Astyanax mexicanus: one gene and its partners. The protein of the gene in region 3 binds, or shares a complex with, the protein of the main gene of each other region. Links are inferred from orthologs where the notes say so. Each region holds a gene or a part of one and is shown on either strand. Other genes may lie near its edges. The genes, in order: acadm, etfa and etfb.

Region 1 (7,270 bases), on a different chromosome or scaffold from region 3:
AATGCTGCAGATGCTCTTTACAGCTAAATAATATTCTGGAGAATAACAGAGCAGCTCGGATCAGATAAACACTCAACACTTACTCCCAGAGAGTTGGCCTCAATAGCCGTCTGGACTCCTGTGCAGCCGTAGGCCAGCTCCTCTGTGATCAGGCAAGCATCGAAACTGGACAGACCCAGTCCCCCTGAAACAGAGACCATATGACCAGTTACCAACCAGAACTGATCTGGAGCTCTATTAGATTCTGTGTTCCAGCGGGTATATCTGTGCAGTGTGAAGCTGCTTTAATACAGAACCCTGAAAATTTGCCTCTGCACTTAGTAGTGAATGCAGCACAGACTGCGAGTGTAAACAGCATGGAGCAGCAAAGACAGTCCTTATTCATAGCTGTGGTAATTAACATTATCTGGCTAATATATCAGATTAAACTGCACCTTATCAGCAGTTTAGCTCAAATAAAAGGAGTATATTTGATAGCTGCGTCGGATCAAGACCGGATTCTGTTCTCACCACAAGCGAACCTCTCCAGAGTTCGTTTGGGATCAGACCAAGACCTCCTCCTCTGGCAGTTTTGCTGTGGTTTTGTTCCACACCAGAGTACTATTACTGTTTTTACACCTGCTTAATCTGCTTAAAAGGGTTTTATAGGATCTACACCTGTAGTCTGTATACAGGCAAAGGCCTGTTAAAAAGGGTGTCGCCTGATAAAGTGGACAGAAACCATATTTACAATATACACAGACGTACCGCAGTCCTCAGGAATGTGACTGTTGATCAGACCGAGCTCCCACGCCCTCCTGATTAGCGGAACCGGATACTGCAGCAGAGGAGACGAGAGGATTAACACAGAATTATTTACTACTTGAATATTAATAAAAGCTAAACAGCTTAAAAAAATAGTGAAAATCATTTAGTATTCAGGTTTTGGCCATTTTTTTTTTTCATTTTGTCTGGTTTCGGCCAAAACGTTTCATTTCATTACATCTCCCATTTAATGGAACTAAACAAAATCAAAGATCATATTTCACAAACTCACTTCACCACTTTTGTCGTACTCCCCAGCGACCGGCAGGATCTCCTCTCGTGCAAACTTCCTGGCTGTTTCCTGGAATTCCTTCTGCTGGTCAGTTAATTCTGTTGATGATCACAGAAAATAGAATTAATTCTACTGTATTTACCAAACACAGACACTCACAGGGGTCGACCAGTCGTGCTGTGCAGTCCGTCCACGTACCGAAGGAGATTCCTCCATGTGACGTTTTCGCTGCACTGGCCGCTCGAGCTGCAGCTCCACTGCTCTGAAACCGCAGACCCGTCTGAACCCCTGTCTGCAGAACCTGCGCACACACAGAACATACAACAAAATTCAATATTAATCACTCTATAGTTTTATTCCAGATCACGTTTGCAAAAAACTCAGACATTGAGTCACTCCTCTCACAGAGTTCGCCAGAAAACATATTTTAGTTCAACATAGGTCTGCAAATAATCATTTTGGTATCTGACTAATCTGAAGGTTATTTCTGCAATCAATTAACTAATTAACGATTATTATTTACCTAAACAAATCATCAATGTGTTTCTGTCCACAGCAATTTGTGTGGTAGACACTGAAATTCAAACAAAATCCTATTTTCTTTCAATTAACATTTTCAATTAGTCCAACTCATCATCACTGCAGCCCTAGTTCAATGACTGTATTATTACAACACTAATCCTGCAATTCTGTTACAGCCTAATAAAGAACCCAGTCCCTCACATGCAGCTCTGTGAAGAAAAACACAGCCAAAGAAGCACATACAGCTCACTAGCTAATGCTAGCCAGTTAGCATAACAAGCTAACACACTGGAGTGACCATAGCTTAGCTCAGCTCTTGATTCAAAAGCTCATCTAGTGATGTCCTGCCTGAAGAAAAATGAGAACAGCACTTTATCTGAGGAGCTCCTGCTGCTGCTCCTCACTGTATTATCAGTAGCCTCCTTTTAAATGCCAGAGCTCTAACAAAGAGGTGTGGAGCGGTGTAGTGGAGAACGGAGGTGTGCAAGTCATCAAATGTAAATAATTTATCATGTTTTTCTACACAAAAATTCTTACTGTGACAGGTCTAACCCTGTCCTTCACTTTGAGTCATTAAGTTCCTAAGCGACATATGGCTACTAAACATCCTGAGAGCATCACAGCACAGTGTGTGGGTGTGTATTTGTTTATCTGACCTTATTTCCAGAATGTAGATGTGTTGGGATAGTGCTGTAGGATATAACTAAGCTCTCCTTTAAAAAGTATATTTTTGATTCTACAGTTGTGTTTCAAACATTTTAACATGTAACCAGTTCTGATCTGATTTGAAGAACAGAATGTTGAAAAATATATATATTTGAAATTGTTGTTAAGGACTTTAACTTAATACATACCGTCATGTGCCCACATTAATTAAAAAACGTGCATGAGCAGCTCAATGATTTTATCTGATTTCATTTAGAATTTTGCATCCATATTCAGAAATATTTATGTTTTTTTCATGGGTTAATAACAACAATAACTCACAGATAATAAATAACTGTGCATCAATTTAAACAAAACACCGAGCATTATTACTCTCATTCTCCCGTCCACCTTAAATAGAGTGCTCACATTGTGGCGTATGTTGCTTTACAGTGTAATATGACTACCTATGTGTTTATTCATCGTTGTGAGCCATTTTTAAAGACAATAACGAAATACAAACCAGACGTAAATCTGCAATAATTCGAATTAAACACAAAAACACCTTAATATAAACCCCAAACTCGACCAGAACAGCTGCACTATTTAAGGTGGAACGGACTCTTGCAAAAACAAGGCGGTAGAAACGAAACTATACTAAGCTTAACCACAAAGCAAAGGCTGCAGAATCTGTTTAAAAGCAATGAAATAAATATATAAAACTCTACCTTTCTGAAAATCAGCATTTTTTTGTGTATTTGTTTATATTGTAATAAGAAATCCGGATCCTTGGGAGTCGCGTCCTGTGCTCTTCGCCCTACAAAAAGACTCTCCAGGCAGACAGCCAATCACAGCCAAGGATGTTTGTCACGTGATCATGTGCCGGGACGTCGGCTCTCTTCGACTACTTTACTTCCAGCCAATCAAATACGGGGCTTTGATCACGTGCTCTGATCCGGCTCCGCCCCCTGTGACCTTAGCCCCAGTTTTATTCTGGCCTACATTGATAGTTGTGTAATTCAGAGGTTATTTAAATTAAAACATTAAACATAATTTATATAGTGCTGAAATTTTACATGTGTTAACATGGACAAATCTGCAGGACTATTATATCTGCGCTTGAGGGTGAGGCTCATTATTGAGTATTTACGAGTAAACCTTTAGAATATAAGAAAATATTTTTTACTTTTTACCTTTTACTTTTTTAATAATAATAATACTGGGTCATTTTTGATTGGAAGGCCATAGACAACAAACAATAGCTTGTGTATTTTAGGACAATACCAAAAATGCAGTTAGGCAAGTTTTATAACAACTGACACATGCAGGTAACCATGAAACTATTCATAAATAGACAAATGAGGAAATACCAGTTCATCAATTCATAATCATAAAATTTCATTAAATTTATATGAATAAAATTAATTGTTTTCAAAATTATGAATATTCATGGGTACACATGGATATTTTGAAACAGATTCTTCATTAGTTCTCTCCAAAATTGAATAAAGGTTCTTCTCCCATGTAAAAAGGAAAGCGATAGCTTTATATCACACTTCATCTTCTCATCTATCTTAGAAAATATGACAAAAATGCAACAAATGTTTGTAACCATTGGTGATTCACATTAGTAAAAAAGGTAAAGCAGCATTTTATACATGTATAAAGATTCAAGATTCACAGCTCCAAATCCATAATTGTGGAATCATATGGAAAAAGCAAATAATAAAAAAGGCAGTGTTTCTTACATATTCTTTACTGAGTTACTATATTCACTAAGGATAGCAAGGGATGAAGTGTTTCAGGAGGTATCCCCCATAGATCACTGTGACATACCACACAGTTCAAATAAGAAAATACTGTGTGAAGCTCTGCTGACAAAAGCTGCAAGTGCATTAACTCATATTATAATAATAATGGACCTTTAATGTTGCATCACAGAAGTGTACTGATACGCCCTCATGCAATAACAGACCCTGACGTTTGGACTTGTTGCTGAGAACAGTCTGGAAGCTCCTTTTAAACTCCAATTCTGACTCATTTGAGCACAATACACTTTCCACTGTGGTATTAGTGAATATAGTAACTCTGTATTGTAGAGCTTGTTGTTGGTGATAAAGGTCATGGTGAACATAATAAGGCTTGTGTTGTGTACAGTAAAGTTTTAAGTGTTATTAGTGCCAAAACATCATATAATTGTTGTGAGAAGAAATGGCAACATTTCAAGGTAAAGTAAAGTAAATGCTTTAGTGTCCCAACTGTTTTTGGTTAAAATAAAAGTCAAAGTAAAGTAAGAAATACTTCACTTTAATTTTATGAGACTTTTCATCCTGTCCATCAGTTGCTGTCCATGTAGGTTTGGGGGGTCCCACTGTTTTTCATGTAGGGGTCTTAGGCTGCGTTCACATTACAAGCCACATTGCTCAAATCCGATTTCTTTTGCTCAGATCGGATTTGGCTATTCTGACGGTTCACATTCACAAATGTAAGTGATCAGTATCTGTGTGTAATGGGAACAAGCTGTCCCTGAAACGGCTTACATTCACAAATTGATACCTGTTTAAACGTCGCCTTCTTCACCACCAACAAAAAAAAAAATCATATTTGAGAGAGCTTCCTAGCTTTATAAAGGGAAATGGATGAGTCAGCAGCTCATATGTGAAACATCTTTTGCTGGAGTGGAGAGTAAACAGCTGATCTGATGTCGAGGAGGTAAAAAGAGATCAGGTGGTTTGCTTTTGCTGTTTTTGCAGCTATAGCTGCACAGCTGCTCAAGAGATGTGTGGGTACGAGAGAGAGGCACGTAGAGCTAATGCTAATGCATAAAGCAAAAAGATGCATGAATTCCGAATTGACAGTTCACATTCATGTCGCATGTCCATGGATCCGATACGTATCCGGTTTAGGACCACATATGAAAGTGACTCAAATCTGATTAAAAAAACAAATCTGATTTGGCACGTTCACACAGCCATTAAAAAATCATATCTGAGCCACACTGAGCAAAAAAATCAGATTCGAGTCACTTCAGCCTGATAATGTAAACATAGCCTTAGGTACAGTACGAGTGTGTATATGCTGTGTAAGGTTGGGGTGTAGCTGCAGTAACAGACATGACCAGCAGAGGTCAGCACACACTCACTCCAGCGCCTACAGCGCCCCCTGCCGGCCGAAATGGTTTGTAGCAGGCTCCTCCTACAGGTTCACTTCAGTGAATGAAGAAGAGTTGGGTTCAGTTAAACGAACCGATTCTTTACCAACTATCCATTCAATGAAACTTTTTTTAATATAGAGCTCTTGTACTTTCACTCAAGTCTAGCTCTATAGTACTTTATACATTCCAATAATGATATTTTGTTTTTTTTATATTAAATAAAATAACTTGACTAATTACAAATCAATTTCATTCATTTACTTTAATTAACTATAATTTAAAAAGAAATGTACTAACAAATTGTTCATAATAAGTTTATAATTAAGTACTAATTATAATTTACATTGCTTTAAATATGTATTAACTTACAATTTGTTTACAGGTTTATAAAATAGTTTTTAAAGTTTATAATATAGTTTAAATTGTAAATAACATTACTTTAAAAAAAATGAAGGCAACAGATTTCCTCAGATTATTTAATTACATTGATTTTACAAATGACCTGAATCGCTCCGATTCACTCACTGATTCTGTTCTAAGGACTCGGTCTAGATAAGCCGATTCGCGGGTGACTCTGAGTCGGATCGGGATTCGTTAGCCGGTGTGACAGATGCTAGCTGTGGGGCTAACGCTTAGTAACTGCTACCTGGAATGTTCCGCGGTTCCGGGGGAGAATAAGCGCTGATTTCCGCGGTTCCGCTGATCCTCTGTTCGGTAGAAGTTTCTGGAATTCCCGCTGAAGAGCGGGGGAGAGAAAGGGGGAGGAAAAGAGGAGAAAGGAGGGATAAATAGCGCTTTTCTGACTGATCTCTAACTCCGTGTTGACATTACCAGACTCGGGCTGGCGGAGCGAAAGCGAAGCGCAGCAGCAGCGGAGAGAGAGCCATGTCTCCCGGGCAGAACCCGCACACTCTGCTGGGGCGGATCCGCTTCCTGAACCGCTGCACCGAGTGCTTCAGGACCGGAGAGCCGCTCCCGGAGAGCCTGTGCTTCGTGCCGCGGGAGGTGTGCTATAAGATCTGTAAGGACTCGTCCAGCAACTCCGGGTCCTCGTCTGCCTCCTCTTCAGCTGGAAACTCTGGAGGAAAGACCCTGGTTCCGGTCTGGGACCACCCGAACCAGCCGCCCACCAGGAAGACCGCCCGGTGCACCATCGAGCCCAAGAAGGGGACCTGCATCCGAACCTCCGGGGAGGAGTACTACAACAGCCACGGCCTGTGGGTCAAAATCAGCAAGGTAAACCTCCACCAGAACCAGCAGCTGAACCCACTCAGTTACCCATTTACTCAATCCTTAATCAACCCTTATTTACTCACCACTTACTTCAATAAAATCTACTCAAAACTCTTATTTACTCCACTTTCATTTTCTCAACTCTTATTTACTCAGTCCTTATTTACTCACCATTCAATTACTCAATTCTAATTTACTTAACCCTTAAAATCTACTTAAAACTCTTACTTACTCGACTCTCGTTTACTCAATTCTCAAAATAAACTCCAAACTCTTATTTCCTCAACTTTTATTTACTCACCCCTCATTTACTTAATTAATAAAATCTACTCAAAACTCTTATTTACTCCACTTTCATTTTCTTAACTCTTATTTACTCAGTCCTTATTTACTCACCACTCATTTACTCCCTCCTTAATCAACCCTTATTTGCTCGACTTTTATTTACTCACCATTCATTTACTCAGTGCTTATTTACTCACCACTCATTTACTCCCTCCTTAATCAACCCTTATTTGCTCGACTTTATTTACTCACCACTCATTTACTCCCTCCTTAATCAACCCTTATTTGCTCGACTTTTATTTACTCACCATTCATTTACTCAGTGCTTATTTACTCACCACTCATTTACTCCCTCCTTAATCAACCCTTATTTGCTCGACTTTATTTACTCACCA
Region 2 (7,909 bases), on a different chromosome or scaffold from region 3:
GCGGACCCGCGGCCGGTCTCGAGGACCCGCGGCCGAGCGAGCGGACCCGCGAGCGTTCCCGCGGCCGGCCTCGAGTACCCGCGGCCGGCCTCGAGGTTCCGGGGCCGACCGAATCGAGTCTACCTTAGCCTTGGATCCGCTCGTCCCGGCTCCGTTTGGCTCCAGCGCGAGACATATGTGCTGCGTAGCGAAGCGGACCCGAGCCTAGCCATTTTAACCTAGCCTTGCCTAGCCTAGCCTATTTGGCTACGTGCCTGTGTGGTTACGTCATCACGCACTGACGTAGCCCAGCTACGGGGGCTGAATGTGTTGAGCTCTGCGGCGAGATATCTGATAACTGATATCACCGTTATTGAAACATTTCTTATCGCGATAAATACCGATATCGAATTATTGTCCAGGCCTAATATGGATATTTAATTAATAGTTTACAAGCAAAGACTGGAGGCATGCAATGGTTTATTTAGTGTTGTGTTTAAACCCCGACCACTAGATAGCCGCGTTGTACTCAGTCTTTAGATGCCACTGTTATGATTACCTAAAAAGTTTTACATACTTTAAATTTAAATTAAATTGTGCAAATAAAAATTGCAGAAAATGTTCATCACCACAGAATTTAGGTACATTACCAACACCACAAATGTTTAGCTCTAATGTGTTGCTAGACTTGCACATACATGCTGACATGGCTGTTTTTGCTTGCACTGAAATAAAGCATTCACCTTGGCTTGTCACAATAACTACCAACAACTAACCAACAAGATTATTTTTACAAGCATTTTTGCTCATCTCAATTTTACCCATTATTTTTTATTCATTTATTTTTTTTTAGCAGGGAGAGACTATTAATGTGACTTAATATTTTAACATCAGACCAGCATAACACTATTGTATTAATCTTCTTTCATTAATTGTATTTTAACCTTTTTATAATTCATTTCTAATGTCTGAAAATATTATTAAATTATATATTTTTTATTGTTCATTATTGCTTATTTTTTATTAACAAAAGGTCATGTATTAGTGAAATAAGCCACAGTTGACCTGAGCACTTTTTTCACAAAAAAATTGGCTCACATAGCATTCATTCATACTAGAGACCGCAACTAGACATTTTAAAACGAATGAAAAAAACAATGGAATGAGAACTTTAACCAATACAATGCAATAAATACATCAATAAAAATGCAGCTAAACTGCCTAAGTCTTAAAGAAATACTGTAAAGCATATTTTGGTCATACAACAAAAACTGGGGTTGTTTTCAGAAATTTGATTAAAAAATTCTCATTATAAATATCATAACACCTCCATCATGATATGCACCAGATTCTTGCCAATAAACAGCTCCAATGATGGTAAACACATTTTCAGAAATAAACACAGATAACTCCAGCAGAATATTTGATTAGATAGCACATCTGTCTGCTTCTAGATCTATCAGCAGTTCAGACAGGTACAGTTCAATAGTTTGGGAATGTGCAAGCTAAACAAACAAAGAATTAGGTATGAGGGTGAGGCTGGAAAGTTGCACAACTATTACTAGCTAGCTTATCTAAAAGTTTATAATGTAATGTAATTACCATGATATTATTGGAAAGGCTGTAAACAGTGAACATTATCTGCCTCTACATGTAACTGTATATCTAGTCATGTCAATAAACACTGTATAGTAATTTCTGGCATATACTTTTACTTAATAAAAATGTAACAGAATTTAAATATGTCAGTTCACACTGCAACAAAAGCATATGGAATGGGTCAATAGAAACGCTAAAATAAAATAAAAAAACATCCAATAATTTTAACGATAACATTTTAAGAAAAAAAGCATTTTGATAGTGATAAGATAAGGAACCAAAAGTTGTGCTGACAGATCTTAAAACTGAATTTTGAGTAGCTGCACCTTAGAAGAACCCTTAACCTTTGCCCTGGTTTCACCAGTTTTGTTGAATTATCATTCACACTTTCAATTTCACAATTAATTTAGAAACCTCTCTTGCTTGTTAAAAGCAGAAGCCCTGTGTCACCAGTTCACTAAGTTACACTTAATAAAAACAGTGATTTAAATGTCCGTGATTTTTTTTTTCTTGTTGTATTGTACACGTAGTGTTTCTTTTATATTTATAATCATCTTATTTTGCTGTACTTGCTGTAACTTCAGGGAGGAGAGAATCCTAATCAATCCTCTCTATATCCTTTAAGTAAATATGCAGTGTTGACAATAAAACTACTTGCCTTGACTTGACGTTACCTCGTTTCAAAACAACAAACACAGATTTGTCCTTAGACACACGATGACAAAACGAGCTAAGAACAGTCACATATGGACAGGTAGGCCTTAATTATAATTAAAGAAACTTCAAAATACTTCTAATTATCTAACAGCGTCAGTGTGAGATTTCGTAACGTAAAATCTGTCAACTGCATAACCTTGAAACGAGGCTAACGGCTAACTCAGCTAATTTAGCCTAAAAACCAGCCAGCCTGTTAGCCAGTTAGCTAACCTAGCTAACGTAGAAGAACGAAACTAGCTAACGCTAGCTAGCTCACCTCTGCAGAGGACAGAAGTTAAAGAAACTGGTTGGTTACACTTTTACAGTTAGTAGCTAGCGGGCTAGTTAAGTTAGACAAATGCAGGTCCAGAGTAAAGGTGGGTAACCCAGGTCCAGAAAATCAAATCCATCCCAGGGTTTCTTACCAACTCTCTTGGTAACTCTCTACCAACGTTTTGATAAAGAAGCTGAGCTGCAGCAGAGCCACGCACGCAGTTGGTACAAAAGCCTGGGGTGGATTTTTACTTTTTGGACCTTGGTTACTCACCTCTAGTGAGCTAGTGAGCTACGTTAGCTTTATATTAATCTACATAATTCTTTGTATTTATGCATGTCTTCCTCCAAATTAACGCAAAGCGACTTGAGCGACCACTCTACTCTTTGTACAGAGTGTTTAATTCTTACCAGAGTCCTGAGGTTTGTCTTGTTGACAGCTTTGAGCATGATTACAGCAGCAGCAGCTCCTCCACTCTACTGCAGGACTGAACCGCAGAGCTCACAGGGCCGCGATATCGCGAGAGTTAACTCTGAGCTCCGAGACCCGGCCGCACCTCATATCCGCCGGAGAGGACCGCCCACCCGAGCTCAGTGCTGCTGCCGCCGCTGTACGAGTTCAGTGAGGATCAGCTGAAGACCGCGGAGCAGGTTTCCATCCAGCGGGGGATTTAGTTCCAGCGAATTACTGAATAACTGCAGTAAATCGATAAAGTGATCAGTTCAATGCTCTACAGAACAGTTCACCAGCTCCTTACTGCAGTCACGTTTTCTTTCATTTATACCTGCATTTAACATGAGAAGCGTTTTTAATGTATGATTTCTCCTTGATTAGACAAAGACACGTTTTCTCTTAGCTTAGGGTCTATGCCTAAACTTTCGCCTTTTTGAAATGTAGCTAACATGTTTTAATTAAGTTTCATCGAATACTTTTTTTGTGATTTTATTTAATGGTTCTGTCAAGTGTGCTTACTTAATAAATAATATTAATAGAACGGTGAATAGCTTATCTTTATTAAATAATAATGTAGTATGTAAACACTGTTACAGTATTTATAAGATTGTGACTTACCTTTCAACAGTGTGCGATATGTGAGGAAAAAAGATTTTTCTTCTTTTTTTCTTATTGTTCTTCTTGTTTCTTCTTCTTATTATTATTATTATTATTATTATTATTATTATTATTATTATTATTAATAATAATAATAAATAATGTTCAACTACCCACTTATTTTTCTCATGTAAAGTCAGTTGTGCACCTCTTTTTATATATACGTTTTTACAACAGTACCAGTTAAAGGTTTGGACACACTTCTTTTTTATGATTTTGTAAAATTTCAAGCTACACAGGAACACCATCGGAATTATTTTGTAAACAAAAAGAGTTAAATAATACAGAATATGTTTTATACTTTAGATTTTTGAGGACCGATCTGAACACTCTTGCACTGTAAAAAGTGAAGCATGGAGCTGTTCATTCAAGCTAATAAATATGATTGAACACATAGTACAATTATTGACTTTATTGTGAAACTCAACCTTTTTGAATTTTGATGTGTCAATTTTGATTCAGACTAAATTAATTACAATTCTGAAGGAAATAAACCAAATGTTTTGGTTCCACTGAAATCATACTCGAAGAAAAGAGATAAGGATGTAATATTTTTAATTTGAATCAAACATGAATTGCGCATGCGCACTGTGGAGCACGGGAGAAGTTGTAGAGAAGTGCTTCAGAGCACTGAGGGAGAGAGGGAGAAAGTGCCTGAACGCGCTCGCGAGAGAGAGAATGAGAGAGGGAGAAAGTGCCTGAACGCGCTCGCGAGAGAGAGAATGAGAGAGGGAGAAAGTGCCTGAACGCGCTCGCGAGAGAGAGAATGAGAGAGGGAGAAAGTGCCTGAACGCGCTCGCGAGATAGCAACGCATGCTTATGGTATTGTGGCGTCGGGACTGGAGGGGGGGCGGAAGGAATTATGGGAGCTCACCCTGTTGGGGGGAGTGGGTGTTTTTCTGCGTGTTTATGTTACTGTTTATCCCAGAGTTTCATGTCATGTTTTATTATCACTGTTCTAGTATTATTCATGTAGTTATCAGTTATGTGGTTGTTTTGTGTAAGTGCCTCACCCTTTGTGTGTTTTCTGTGTGTGGGAGTGGGGTTAGCTGCGTTGGAGCTGTAGTTAGTTTCACTTTCAAAAGTGGAATCCCATGTAAATCCAGCTCTTAGTGTCCTCCTCAGAGCAAAATAAAAAGAGCAAGAGAGCACTGAAACGAATCTCGCTGGTAAGCCGTCCTCTTCCACGCCACAGTAACTTCTGGAACTTCTGAATATGCTGCCATGTTTTTTTTAAAAGTTCGGATCAATTTAAATGTATTAGTTTGGTTCCGAAACTGAAATGTAAAGAATTTAACTTGGATCAAGGTGAATAATTAATATTGGGTCGAGTGAAGTAATATGGTTTATGTCAAAATAAAATAATCAGGTTGTAACAATTGACTTTATTTAGATTGAGTGAAGTCAAATAGTTTAGATGCAACAAATGGACATCAATTTTTTTAATTTGAGCAGGGCTACACTTTTTACAGTGTGGTTAATCTGTGTCTTCGTGATGTAGAGTCACCTGGAATAGTTTTCTCAGCATCTTAAAGGAATTCCTGGAGGTGCTGAACAATAGTTGCAGCATTTCCTTCACGCTGTGAAATTCCAGCTCATCACAAATCACCTCAAATCACCCATCTCAGTGGGGTTTAGGTCAGAGGATTGTGGAGGACAAACACTTTTTTGTTTTCAAAGTAATTCCATATGTGTCCCTTTATTGTTTTCAATATTTTAATAAGAATCTATAATATAGAAAATACATTGAATGAGGATGTGTACAAGTTGACTGGTACTATTTATATATTTCTTTAAATTCTAAATAAGCCTACAGCCATGAACACAGTTCTGGCTTAAGCATAACTGTTGTTTAGTAGCACAATTTAACATGTACAATAAGAAAAATAAATTGCATACATTTATTTTTCCTATGTTAAATACAAAAAATCAAAATATGTAATTTTTTCCACAAGATTGCAACTGCCTTTTACTTTTAGACCAGACTGTTTTGTTTCACTTTTTAAATATAGCAAATCAAAACAGAGCTCATAAAAAACAGTCTGTATAATTCTTAGATATAAAGAGAGATTGGGAGACTGTTTGGTAGTTGTACTCTAAATAGCTGTAGGTCTTTTAGCAAAAGGAAATAAATTCCTTTTATTTTTATATATATTTTTTTAGAAATATACCCCTTACATGACAGGGAATATCTCAGGAGTGTTTTTCTGACTCTCTACCTAAATTCCACGTTTTTTTTTTTTATTTTAATGCAAATGTTCAAAACGATTTAGTTACTTTTCTTTTTCATGGCAAGCCCATTTCCTCTGCTATTGATTTCCTCTGATTTATATTACATTACATTATATACATTCATATTAACTAATTATACACAACATCATATACTATTTCAAACGGAGAAGCGTGAAAGTGAATAATTGAAGAGCCTGATTGTAAAAGGTTGTTTTGATCTCAGGTTGTTGTGGGCTGAGCTTGTTTCGCGGTTCAGTACAGAGTCACACTATAAGCTCAGTCTTCAGAAACATTAGAGGTGAGAGTGCTGGAGATCTGAGCGGCTTTGATTGGATTTGAGAGGGCGGGGTGAGTTAGGCTTGTTTTAAAAGACATCTCTCTCCCACCCTCTGTTCCTCCCTCTCTCACTCACTCACTCATGCTCACACCCATACGCGGCAGTGGTCTTGTCCTCCACTTTCAGAAGAGATTTGTTAAGAGTAACATTCCGTTTTCGTTCCCTCGCTGGTTTGCCTCTTTTTTATCATTTGTAAAGGAGTAGTTTCAATTTTTTTAATATTTTGTATTTTTGGGTCTTTTCTCTTCTGATTGTTGACGAAAAAATAAAATAAAAGATCTGTACGTTTTTAGTTCAACATTTAAAGTTTTTGTCTTTTAAGCTTAGTGTTTTGCAGCGTCTCTAAATATTATTGACTATAGAACATACAAGATAGATAGATAGATAGATAGATAGATAGATAGATAGATAGATAGATAGATAGATAGATAGATAGATAGATAGATAGACAGACAGATAGATCATCTTAAAAAATACATATTTCAAAAAAAAATATGGCTCGTAATGGTTCTTTACGATTTAAAAGCTTTTTTAAACTTAACTTTTACAAGCATGGTTCATTATTGAGCCAAAAGTGATTATTCTATAGCATGTATCAAATCAAACCATTTGCAGCACATTTGCTTTGTTAGAAGACTTTTTATTTTATTGTAAGAATGCATAAAATCATTTTTTAGGCGACAAAATTTTATTTTATTTTTTGTATGTATCTTTTTTGTTTGTGTGTAAAAAAAAAAAGAAAGAAGATATTCTCTAATGTAATGAGACACGCTGTGGTGGAGATTATAGATGGGATTGATCTGAGTTAGGGTCGGTGTTAAAGGTCAGGTTGAAGAGCACGCTAAAGGAAGAGCGACCCTCTGCCCGTTCTGGAAACATCTTGAAAAAATAATCCGTACAAATAAATCAGGAAACTTAACTCAAACGCAGTTTCTTTACAAATCCCCACAGGTCCGCTTCTAATGTCCAAATAATTCATGTGTGGATTGTGGAGGAAATAATTGTACAAATAATAAAAATGATGAGCGATGTAAATACAGACTTTAAACAGTTCAAATATTGAGGGAACGAAGGTTCGCTTCCACGCGTTTAATCAGAGACAGAGAGTAAATCAGTAAAACTGGGTCTGTATGTAACTGTATGTAGTGTAAATGAACTAAAGATCATTTACAGGAAAAAATGTAAATTATATTGTTCTTTTAAGATGTTCATTTAAAGAACAGTGTGATGAAAGTGTCAGAGAAGTGTAACAGTCTTTTCCGTTCTGATAAATTAGATTAGATAATTAGATTAAATTAGATTAGAATTAGAGATTTAGAGAGAAATTTAAATTTCAAATCTGTTTATTTTCTGCTTTATTCTGATCTGAATAAAGGTTTAAACTGAGAATGCACAATGTGAAAATGCGACGCGATGTGTAAAGGCTGGAGAGGAGGAGTGTGTGATGTGATTGTGTGTCCAGCAGGGGGCTCTGCTCCAGAGCTCAGCCACTGCCAAGTTTGGACAGAAGGAATTAAATACATATTTTTTATTTTAAAAAGCGGAGAATTTAAGAGCGTCTAAAATGTTCAAGCTGTTAGATATGTGCATATTCGATCTCTTTTTTATTCGAGCATCTCTAGATGATTTTGAGAAGGAATTAGATATTTTATAATTAAATAAGCGGATGTGTCAGGTTTTAT
Region 3 (7,159 bases):
AGAGTAAAATAAGTGTGTGTATATATATATATATATTTTTTTTTTTAAGTTACGATCTGCCCTGGGACTTTTATTATGAAGACAACAATGGCAAGCTAGCTTTTTCTGAGCTGTTTTGGCCGCCAGGTGCAGTTCTGGGCAACTTGATTTTGGAAGGAAGGAGATGCAGAAGGAAGAAAGGAAGGATATGCGGAAGAAAAGGAGAAACTACTGAAGGAAGCTTGTGTGAAAGGAAGTGAGGAAGGAAGAAAGTGCAAAAGTAAGGAAGGAAGAGGGTGCAGAAAGAAGAACGGAAGAAGAAAGGAAGAAGATGCAGAAAGAAGGAAGGGAGGGAGTTAGTGTGAAAGACAGTAAGGAAAGAAGAAGGTGCAAAAGTAAGGAAGAAAGAAGGTGCAGAAAGAAGGAAGGAAAAAGGTGCCGAAAGTAGGAAGGAAGGAAGGAAGGAAGAAGGTGCAGAAAGAAGGAAAGAAGGAAGGTGCCGAAAGAAGGAAGGAAAAATGTGCAGAAAGAAGGAATAAAGGAAGGTAGTGTCGAAGAAAGGAAGGAAGGAAGAAGGTGCAGAAAGAAGGAGGGAAGAAGAAAGGAAGAAGATGCAGAAAGAAGGAAGGGAGGGAGTTAGTGCGAAAGACAGTAAGGAAAGAAGAAGGTGCAAAAGTAAGGAAGAAAGAAGGTGCAGAAAGAAGGAAGGAAAAAGGTGCCGAAAGTAGGAAGGAAGGAAGGAAGAAGATGCAGAAAGAAGGAAGGGAGGGAGTTAGTGCGAAAGACAGTAAGGAAAGAAGAAGGTGCAAAAGTAAGGAAGAAAGAAGGTGCAGAAAGAAGGAAGGAAAAAGGTGCCGAAAGTAGGAAGGAAGGAAGAAGATGCAGAAAGAAGGAAGGGAGGGAGTTAGTGCGAAAGACAGTAAGGAAAGAAGAAGGTGCAAAAGTAAGGAAGAAAGAAGGTGCAGAAAGAAGGAAGGAAAAAGGTGCCGAAAGTAGGAAGGAAGGAAGGAAGAAGGTGCAGAAAGAAGGAAGGTGCCGAAAGAAGGAAGGAAAAATGTGCAGAAAGAAGGAATAAAGGAAGGTAGTGTCGAAGAAAGGAAGGAAGGAAGAAGGTGCAGAAAGAAGAAAGAAGGAAAGTGCAGAAAGAAGAAAGAAGGAAAGTGCAGAAAGAAGGAAGGAAGAAAGGAAGCGCAGAAGGACGGAAAAGGGGAAATAAAGTGCAGAAGGATGAAAGTGTGGAAGAAAGTGTGCAAGTATGAAATAAAGGAAGTTTGGAAGTGCAGAGGGAAAAAAGTGCGGAAGGAAGAAAGTATGGAATTGTGGAAGTGCATAAGAAAGTGCAGAAGGAAGTCCACAGTTTGAATAACATTCCTGCCAACAGTCAGACCCAACACTGCTGCTTGGTCGAGGGTCCAGACTGGCTCTCGCTCTCTCGCTTTCTCGTGATTGAGTGTGTTAATTGGTGAGTAGGTGGTGAACAGTTTGAGAGGAAGAGGGCAGAAATCGTCTCAGGTCAGACTACTATACAATACACTTCATCAGCTGACAGGATCCAGATCAAACAGGAGAGATCTGATCCTGGCCTGGAAAAAAACAATCAATCAATACAGCTATAGTGCAAGGGTCCGGACTGTTCATCATGAAGAAATTTTATTATCAGGTGCTATTCAGATAACACTATTTAGTTAGTTAGTTTGTAGTAACCTCTCAGACCTTCTAGTCTGCTGTTCGTATAGGTACATAGTAGTGCTGTGCAGTGCATATAAATTCAATTTGGTTGCTTCTAATTAATTTATTTAACTTGAATGGGTGTTTTAATGTGATTTATAAAAAGGAGCACGGAGCAGCTGCCAAAGGGAATCTCAGTAGACAGTCTGCCTGTTCCCCAGTGACCCTAAATGCCCTTATGTATTCTGAAGGTTAGTAGTAGTAGTGTAGTAGTGTAGTAGTAGTAGTAATAGTAATAAGCTTCATATGGAAGCTAAACATCAGAATGCATTACAAATGAATGCAAAATACAGACAGAAGAAAAAGGAGATCTATTTATGTGCTGTAAATAGGTGGACAGACAGACAGCTGGCTTAGTAGGTAGGTAGACAGGTAGATAGAAGAAAAAGGAGATCTATTTATGTGCTGTAAATAGGTGGACAGACAGACAGCTAGCTTGGTAGGCAGTTAGACAGAAGAAAAAGGAGATTTATTTATGTGCTGTAAATAGGTGGATGGACAGACAGCTAGCTTAGTTGGTAGGTAGACAGGGAGACAGACAAATATAAAAAGAAGATCTATTTATGTTCTGTGAATAGGAGGACAGACAGACAGCTAGCTCACTAGGTAGGGAGTCAGGGAGACAGAAAAATGTAGGTCTACTTATTTGCTGTAAATAGGTGGACAGACAGACAGACAGAGCTATACAGCTCAGTAGGTAGTAAGACAGGGAGACAGACAGAGAGACAGACAGACAGAAAAAGTAGATATATTTATTTGTTGTAAATAGAAGAACAGACAGACAGCCAGCTCAGTAGGTAGGAAGACAGGGAGACAGACATACAGATAGCTAGCTAGATAGATAGCTATACAGCTCAGTATGTAGGTAGGAGACAGACAAACAGACAGACAGACAGACAGACAGACAGACAGAAGTGAAGTATGAATGAGTCAGGTTGAGATTTAAGGCCTGAATAAATTAATCAGTTGTGGGTTTTCAGTAATCAGATGAATGAGAAGAGTATTTAGGGTATTTGAGAGTGAGTTTAGTGTAGTTTAAACCTGTCTATCTGACAGTAAACTGTCTGTCGCTCCGTGCTGACCTTGGTGTGTGAGTGTAAACCTGTTTCAGCGGCTAACTCCCCCTGAACCCCCGCATTAAACCCCCGGTAAACCCGCGCTCCGCCCCCGCGCTGAGACCCCCGGGGACCGACCGGGCTCTTACCTTCACGGCGTAGTCGATGACCCGCTTCACCCCGACCAGAACCCGCGCTGCCATCGCTGCGGCTAACGGCTAACAGCTAACAGCTAACCACCAGCAGCCGGAGCCTTATCGCTGTGACACCGCGGGGCGGGACCAGCCGAGCACGCCTGCCCCTCCAGCCAATCATATTACAGAACCAGCGCAGCCCAGCCAATCAGCTAGCGAGCTGGCAGCAGCCGGTTATCGCATGTGTTCCCCGCATGCGCGCTCTGACTGAAACAAAGCTCTGAGAAAGTGGGTTAAAGGTTAAATTAAAGTGACTGACTGACTCTGACCTAATAATAATCATTTACCAATACCATGCTCTATATATAACTGTATATAACAGTCTATTTTGCTGTGTGTAGGTATATTTTAAGTAAAATGAACATTGTTGTTTTATTCCATAAACTACAGACATTTCTCCCAAATTCCAAATAAAAAATATTGTCATTTAGAGCATTTATCTGCAGAAAATGAGAAATGGCTGAAATAACAAAAAAAAAAGATGCAGAGCTTTCAGACCTCAAATAATACAAAGAAAAAAACAAGAAAACAAGTTCCTATTCAGTAAGATTTAAGACTTCAGAAATCAATGTTTGGTGGAATAACCCTGGTTTTTGATCACAGTTTTAAACATGCATCTTGGCATCATGTTCTCCTCCACCAGTCTTACACACTGCTTTTGGATAACTTCATGCTTTACACTCCTGGTGCAAAAATTCAAGCAGTTCAGTTTGGTGATTTGATGGTTTGTGATCATCCATCTTCCTCTTGATTATATTCCAGAGGTTTTCAATTTGGTAAAATCAAAGAAACTAGTCATTTTTAAGTGCTCTCTTATTTTTTTTCCAGAACTGCATGTATGTATATATATATATATATATATATATATATATATATATATATCCCTAAAAACAACAAAACATAAAAAAACAATAAAGTAAAAATAATTTAATATAACTTAATGTTATACAGCCACCCACCACTCTAAAGCTCAGCTCACTTACGGTCACTTAACCATTTTAAACTTATAGTTTCTGATCACATTTTTTCATAACTTTTAATTGTTGTATTTTCGTTCTTATGATCTTAGTTAATTATTTTATTTCATTTTTATAATTGTATTATTATTATTATTATTATCATTATTATTATTTATTTTTATATAAAAAAAAAACATTTACATTTACACGTGTTTACTATCACGTCACCAAAGCTGGAATGTAAAGCAATAATAAAACTGTATGAACAGCAGTAAAATGAGGGAATGGCGCCACCAGCTGGGCTTAGTGAGAATTACAGAGACTCTACTCTAGATCATCTGTTCACAACACTGATAAATACAAACTAATTACAACACGCTAAAATGCTTATTTAACTTTGATGTATTTAATTAAATTGTTCATGGGATTCTTTTGTATGTGTACATATATTTAATTTAGAATTGCTGTTTTTTTGTAATAAAAGCAATACATAAAATAAGTCGAAACTAATAATCTAATAATAAATTTAAAACTTAAAAAAGCATTAAAAAACTTTTCCCCATTTCTATAGATTATTCCAATATAATTTATCTATATATAAAATAAACAATGTGCACATATATATTACTTTACACTTATTTTATCTTATATATTCATTACTTAGTAAATGTATTGATTTAAAATTAAACCCTGCCCTCTTATTAGTCTGGCCACGCCTTGTCACGTGACCCAAGTGTTTGTTCCCGTGATCAGCTCTCACTTTCACACACACACACACACTCTCTCTCTCTCTCTCTCTCTCTCTCTCTCTCTCTCTCTCTCTCTCTAACTCTGCTGGAGCTGGAGGCAGATGGAGGTGTTGGAGCGGAATCTGGAAACTTTAGTGAGGTAAATCCTCTGTTCAGAGTGATGATTACAGAACAGCTCAGTGTCTGTACTGTCTGTATTTACTGCTGAATTCACTCTTTATTTAATGTCTTTATGTAGTCTGTATTCAGTCTGTATTCACTACTGCATTCACTCTTTATTTAATGTCTTTATTTAGTCTGTATTCAGTCTGTATTCACTACTGCATTCACTCTTTATTTAATGTCTTTATTTGGTCTGTATTCAGTGATGTATTCACTGTCTTAATATAGTCTGTATTCTATGTGTAATTAGTCTGTATTCAGTCTGTATTCAGTCTGTATTAAGGTTGTATTCTATGTGTAATTAGTCTGTATTCAGTCTGTATTAAGGTTGTATTCTATGTGTAATTAGTCTGTATTCAGTCTGTATTAAGGTTGTATTCTATGTGTAATTAGTCTGTATTCAGTCTGTATTCTATGTGCAATTAGTCTGTATTCAGTCTGTATTCAGTCTGTATTCTATGTGTAATTAGTCTGTATTCAGTCTGTATTAAGTTTGTATTCTATGTGTAATTAGTCTGTATTCAGTCTGTATTAAGTTTGTATTCTACGTGTAATTAGTCTGTATTCAGTCTGTATTCTATGTAATTAGTCTGTATTCAGTCTGTATTCTATGTGTAATTAGTCTGTATTCAGTCTGTATTCTATGTGTAATTAGTCTGTATTCAGTCTGTATTCTATGTGTAATTAGTCTGTATTTAGTCTGTATTCTATGTGTAATTAGTCTGTATTCAGTCTGTATTCTATGTGTAATTAGACTGTATTTAGTCTGTAATTAGTCTGTATTCAGTTTGTATTCTATGTGTAATAAGCCTGTATTCACTCTCTATTCAGTCTGTATTCAGTGATGTATTCAATATGTGTTCTATGTGTTATTAATCTGTATTTAGTCTGTATTATATGTGTAATTAGTCTGTATTCAGTCTGTATTTAGTCTGTATTCAGTCTGTATTCTATGTGTTATTAATCTGTATTCAGTCTGTATTCTATGTTATTAATCTGTATTCAGTCTGTATTCTATGTGTTATTAGTCTTTTTCAGTCTGTATTTAGACTGTATTGAGTCTGTATTCTATGTGTAATTAGTCTGTATTCAGTCTGTATTTTATGTGTAATTAGTCTGTATTCAGTCTGTATTTTCTGTGTAATTAGTCTGTATTCAGTATCTATTCAAGGTGTAGTTAGTCTGTATTTATTCTGCATTTAGTGTGTTCAATTTGTATTTAGTCTGTAATCAGTCTATATACAGTGCTGTTTTTAATTTGTATTCAGTCTGTGTTCATTGAAGTATTCAGTCTGTATTCCATCTGTATTTAGTCTTCATTCAGTCTGTATTCGTTGATGTATTCAGTCTGTATTCAGTCTGTATTTAGTCTTTATTCAGTCTGTATTTACTAGTGCATTAAGTCTGTATTTGTATGTGTAGTTAGTCAGTATTTAGTCTGTATTCAGTTTGTATTTGCTACTGCATTCAATCTGCATTCAGTTCCTTTTTTTAGTGATGTATTCGGTTTGTATCCTATGTGTAATTAGTCTTTATTCAGTATGTATTTAGTCTATTCAGTCTATAGTCATTGCTGAATTCAGTTTGTTTTTAGTGATGTATTCATTCTATATTTAGTGCTGAATTCAGTCTATATTTAGTGCTGAATTCACTCCACATTCACTACTGTATTCAGTCTGTATTCATATTTTCTGACTTTATTCACTACTGTAGTCAGTCTGTATTCAGTCTGTATTCAGTGCTGTATTCAGTCTGTATTAAATATGTATTCATTCTGTATTCAGTCTGTGTTTAGTTCCTATTCAGTGTGTATTTAGTGCTCTATATTTAGTGCTAAATTCAGTGTTGTGTTCAGTCTAATAGCTTTTACACCAGTGTGTCCACTAAACTTTCCACTAACTTGGTGATGCTGGTCATGCTAGATGCCAGATGTCCACTAGATGTGGTAAATTCAGCAAGATAAACAGTAATTATGTATTAACCCTTGTGTGGTGTTCATATTTTTGTTACTCGTTTACTTTGTTACTTGTATTTAATTCAGCAAAATTAAGCAATTTTACATTAAAATGCTTTACACATGCTTGCTTCACCTAAATTGCAAGCAATATAAACAGCTTACATGGTTAATATTTGCTCTTTACCTTTCTTATGTTTCTTTTAAAAAGTGCTACTCTTTTTTTATTAGTTTTTTAATAAAATGTAAAAGAAAATGAATTAAACTCAAGATATGAGTAGAAAATTTGTTTAGTTTCAAATTTACAAATGAAGCAATGTTTATTAGCCCTTGGCCAAACATACTGTATGTAATATAAATGTGTGTGTGTGTGTGTGGG

What was found.
Region 1: the proteins of etfb (region 3) and acadm are in contact, whole or in part, in a crystal structure (PDB 2A1T), measured with the Homo sapiens proteins. The link is inferred for Astyanax mexicanus from reciprocal best matches to the Homo sapiens genes ETFB and ACADM. Residues at the interface, in NP_001976.1 of Homo sapiens: Glu73, Arg76, Thr77, Tyr192, Ala193, Thr194, Leu195, Pro196, Ile198, Met199, Lys202; in NP_000007.1 of Homo sapiens: Glu43, Gln44, Lys46, Glu47, Phe48, Thr51, Lys54, Phe55, Glu58, Glu59, Arg80, Glu83, Leu84, Gly85, Leu86, Leu98, Leu100, Ile108.
Region 2: the proteins of etfb (region 3) and etfa are in contact, whole or in part, in a crystal structure (PDB 2A1U), measured with the Homo sapiens proteins. The link is inferred for Astyanax mexicanus from reciprocal best matches to the Homo sapiens genes ETFB and ETFA. Residues at the interface, in NP_001976.1 of Homo sapiens: Ile14, Tyr16, Val18, Ile20, Val22, Val29, Thr31, Phe41, Leu102, Arg106, Lys124, Gln125, Ile127, Asp128, Asp129, Asp130, Cys131, Asn132, Gln133, Gln136, Met137, Ala139, Gly140, Phe141, Asp143, Trp144, Pro145, Gln146, Thr148, Phe149; in NP_000117.1 of Homo sapiens: Glu27, Leu88, Pro89, Glu90, Ser113, Ala114, Phe115, Lys117, Asn118, Pro121, Arg122, Ala124, Ala125, Lys126, Glu128, Val129, Ala130, Pro131, Ile132, Ser133, Arg146, Thr147, Ile148, Tyr149, Ala150, Gly151, Asn152, Ala153, Leu154, Cys155.

The regions. Positions count from the first base shown.
Region 1 is NC_064425.1:41,682,496-41,689,765, reverse strand, and holds the start of acadm (medium-chain specific acyl-CoA dehydrogenase, mitochondrial), read right to left. Parts: upstream 3,061-7,270; 5' UTR 2,950-3,060; coding exon 2,932-2,949; intron 1,338-2,931; coding exon 1,235-1,337; intron 1,135-1,234; coding exon 1,037-1,134; intron 818-1,036; coding exon 748-817; intron 185-747; coding exon 84-184; intron 1-83. Other genes in the region: E3 ubiquitin-protein ligase HECTD3, read left to right, coding at 6,243-6,593. UniProt on the Homo sapiens protein: Medium-chain specific acyl-CoA dehydrogenase is one of the acyl-CoA dehydrogenases that catalyze the first step of mitochondrial fatty acid beta-oxidation, an aerobic process breaking down fatty acids into acetyl-CoA and allowing the production of energy from fats.
Region 2 is NC_064409.1:55,938,012-55,945,920, reverse strand, and holds the start of etfa (electron transfer flavoprotein subunit alpha, mitochondrial), read right to left. Parts: upstream 3,084-7,909; 5' UTR 2,998-3,083; coding exon 2,959-2,997; intron 1-2,958. UniProt on the Homo sapiens protein: Heterodimeric electron transfer flavoprotein that accepts electrons from several mitochondrial dehydrogenases, including acyl-CoA dehydrogenases, glutaryl-CoA and sarcosine dehydrogenase.
Region 3 is NC_064408.1:120,898,960-120,906,118, reverse strand, and holds the start of etfb (electron transfer flavoprotein subunit beta), read right to left. Parts: upstream 3,046-7,159; 5' UTR 2,966-3,045; coding exon 2,912-2,965; intron 1-2,911. Other genes in the region: upstream stimulatory factor 2, read left to right, coding at 4,766-4,803. UniProt on the Homo sapiens protein: Heterodimeric electron transfer flavoprotein that accepts electrons from several mitochondrial dehydrogenases, including acyl-CoA dehydrogenases, glutaryl-CoA and sarcosine dehydrogenase.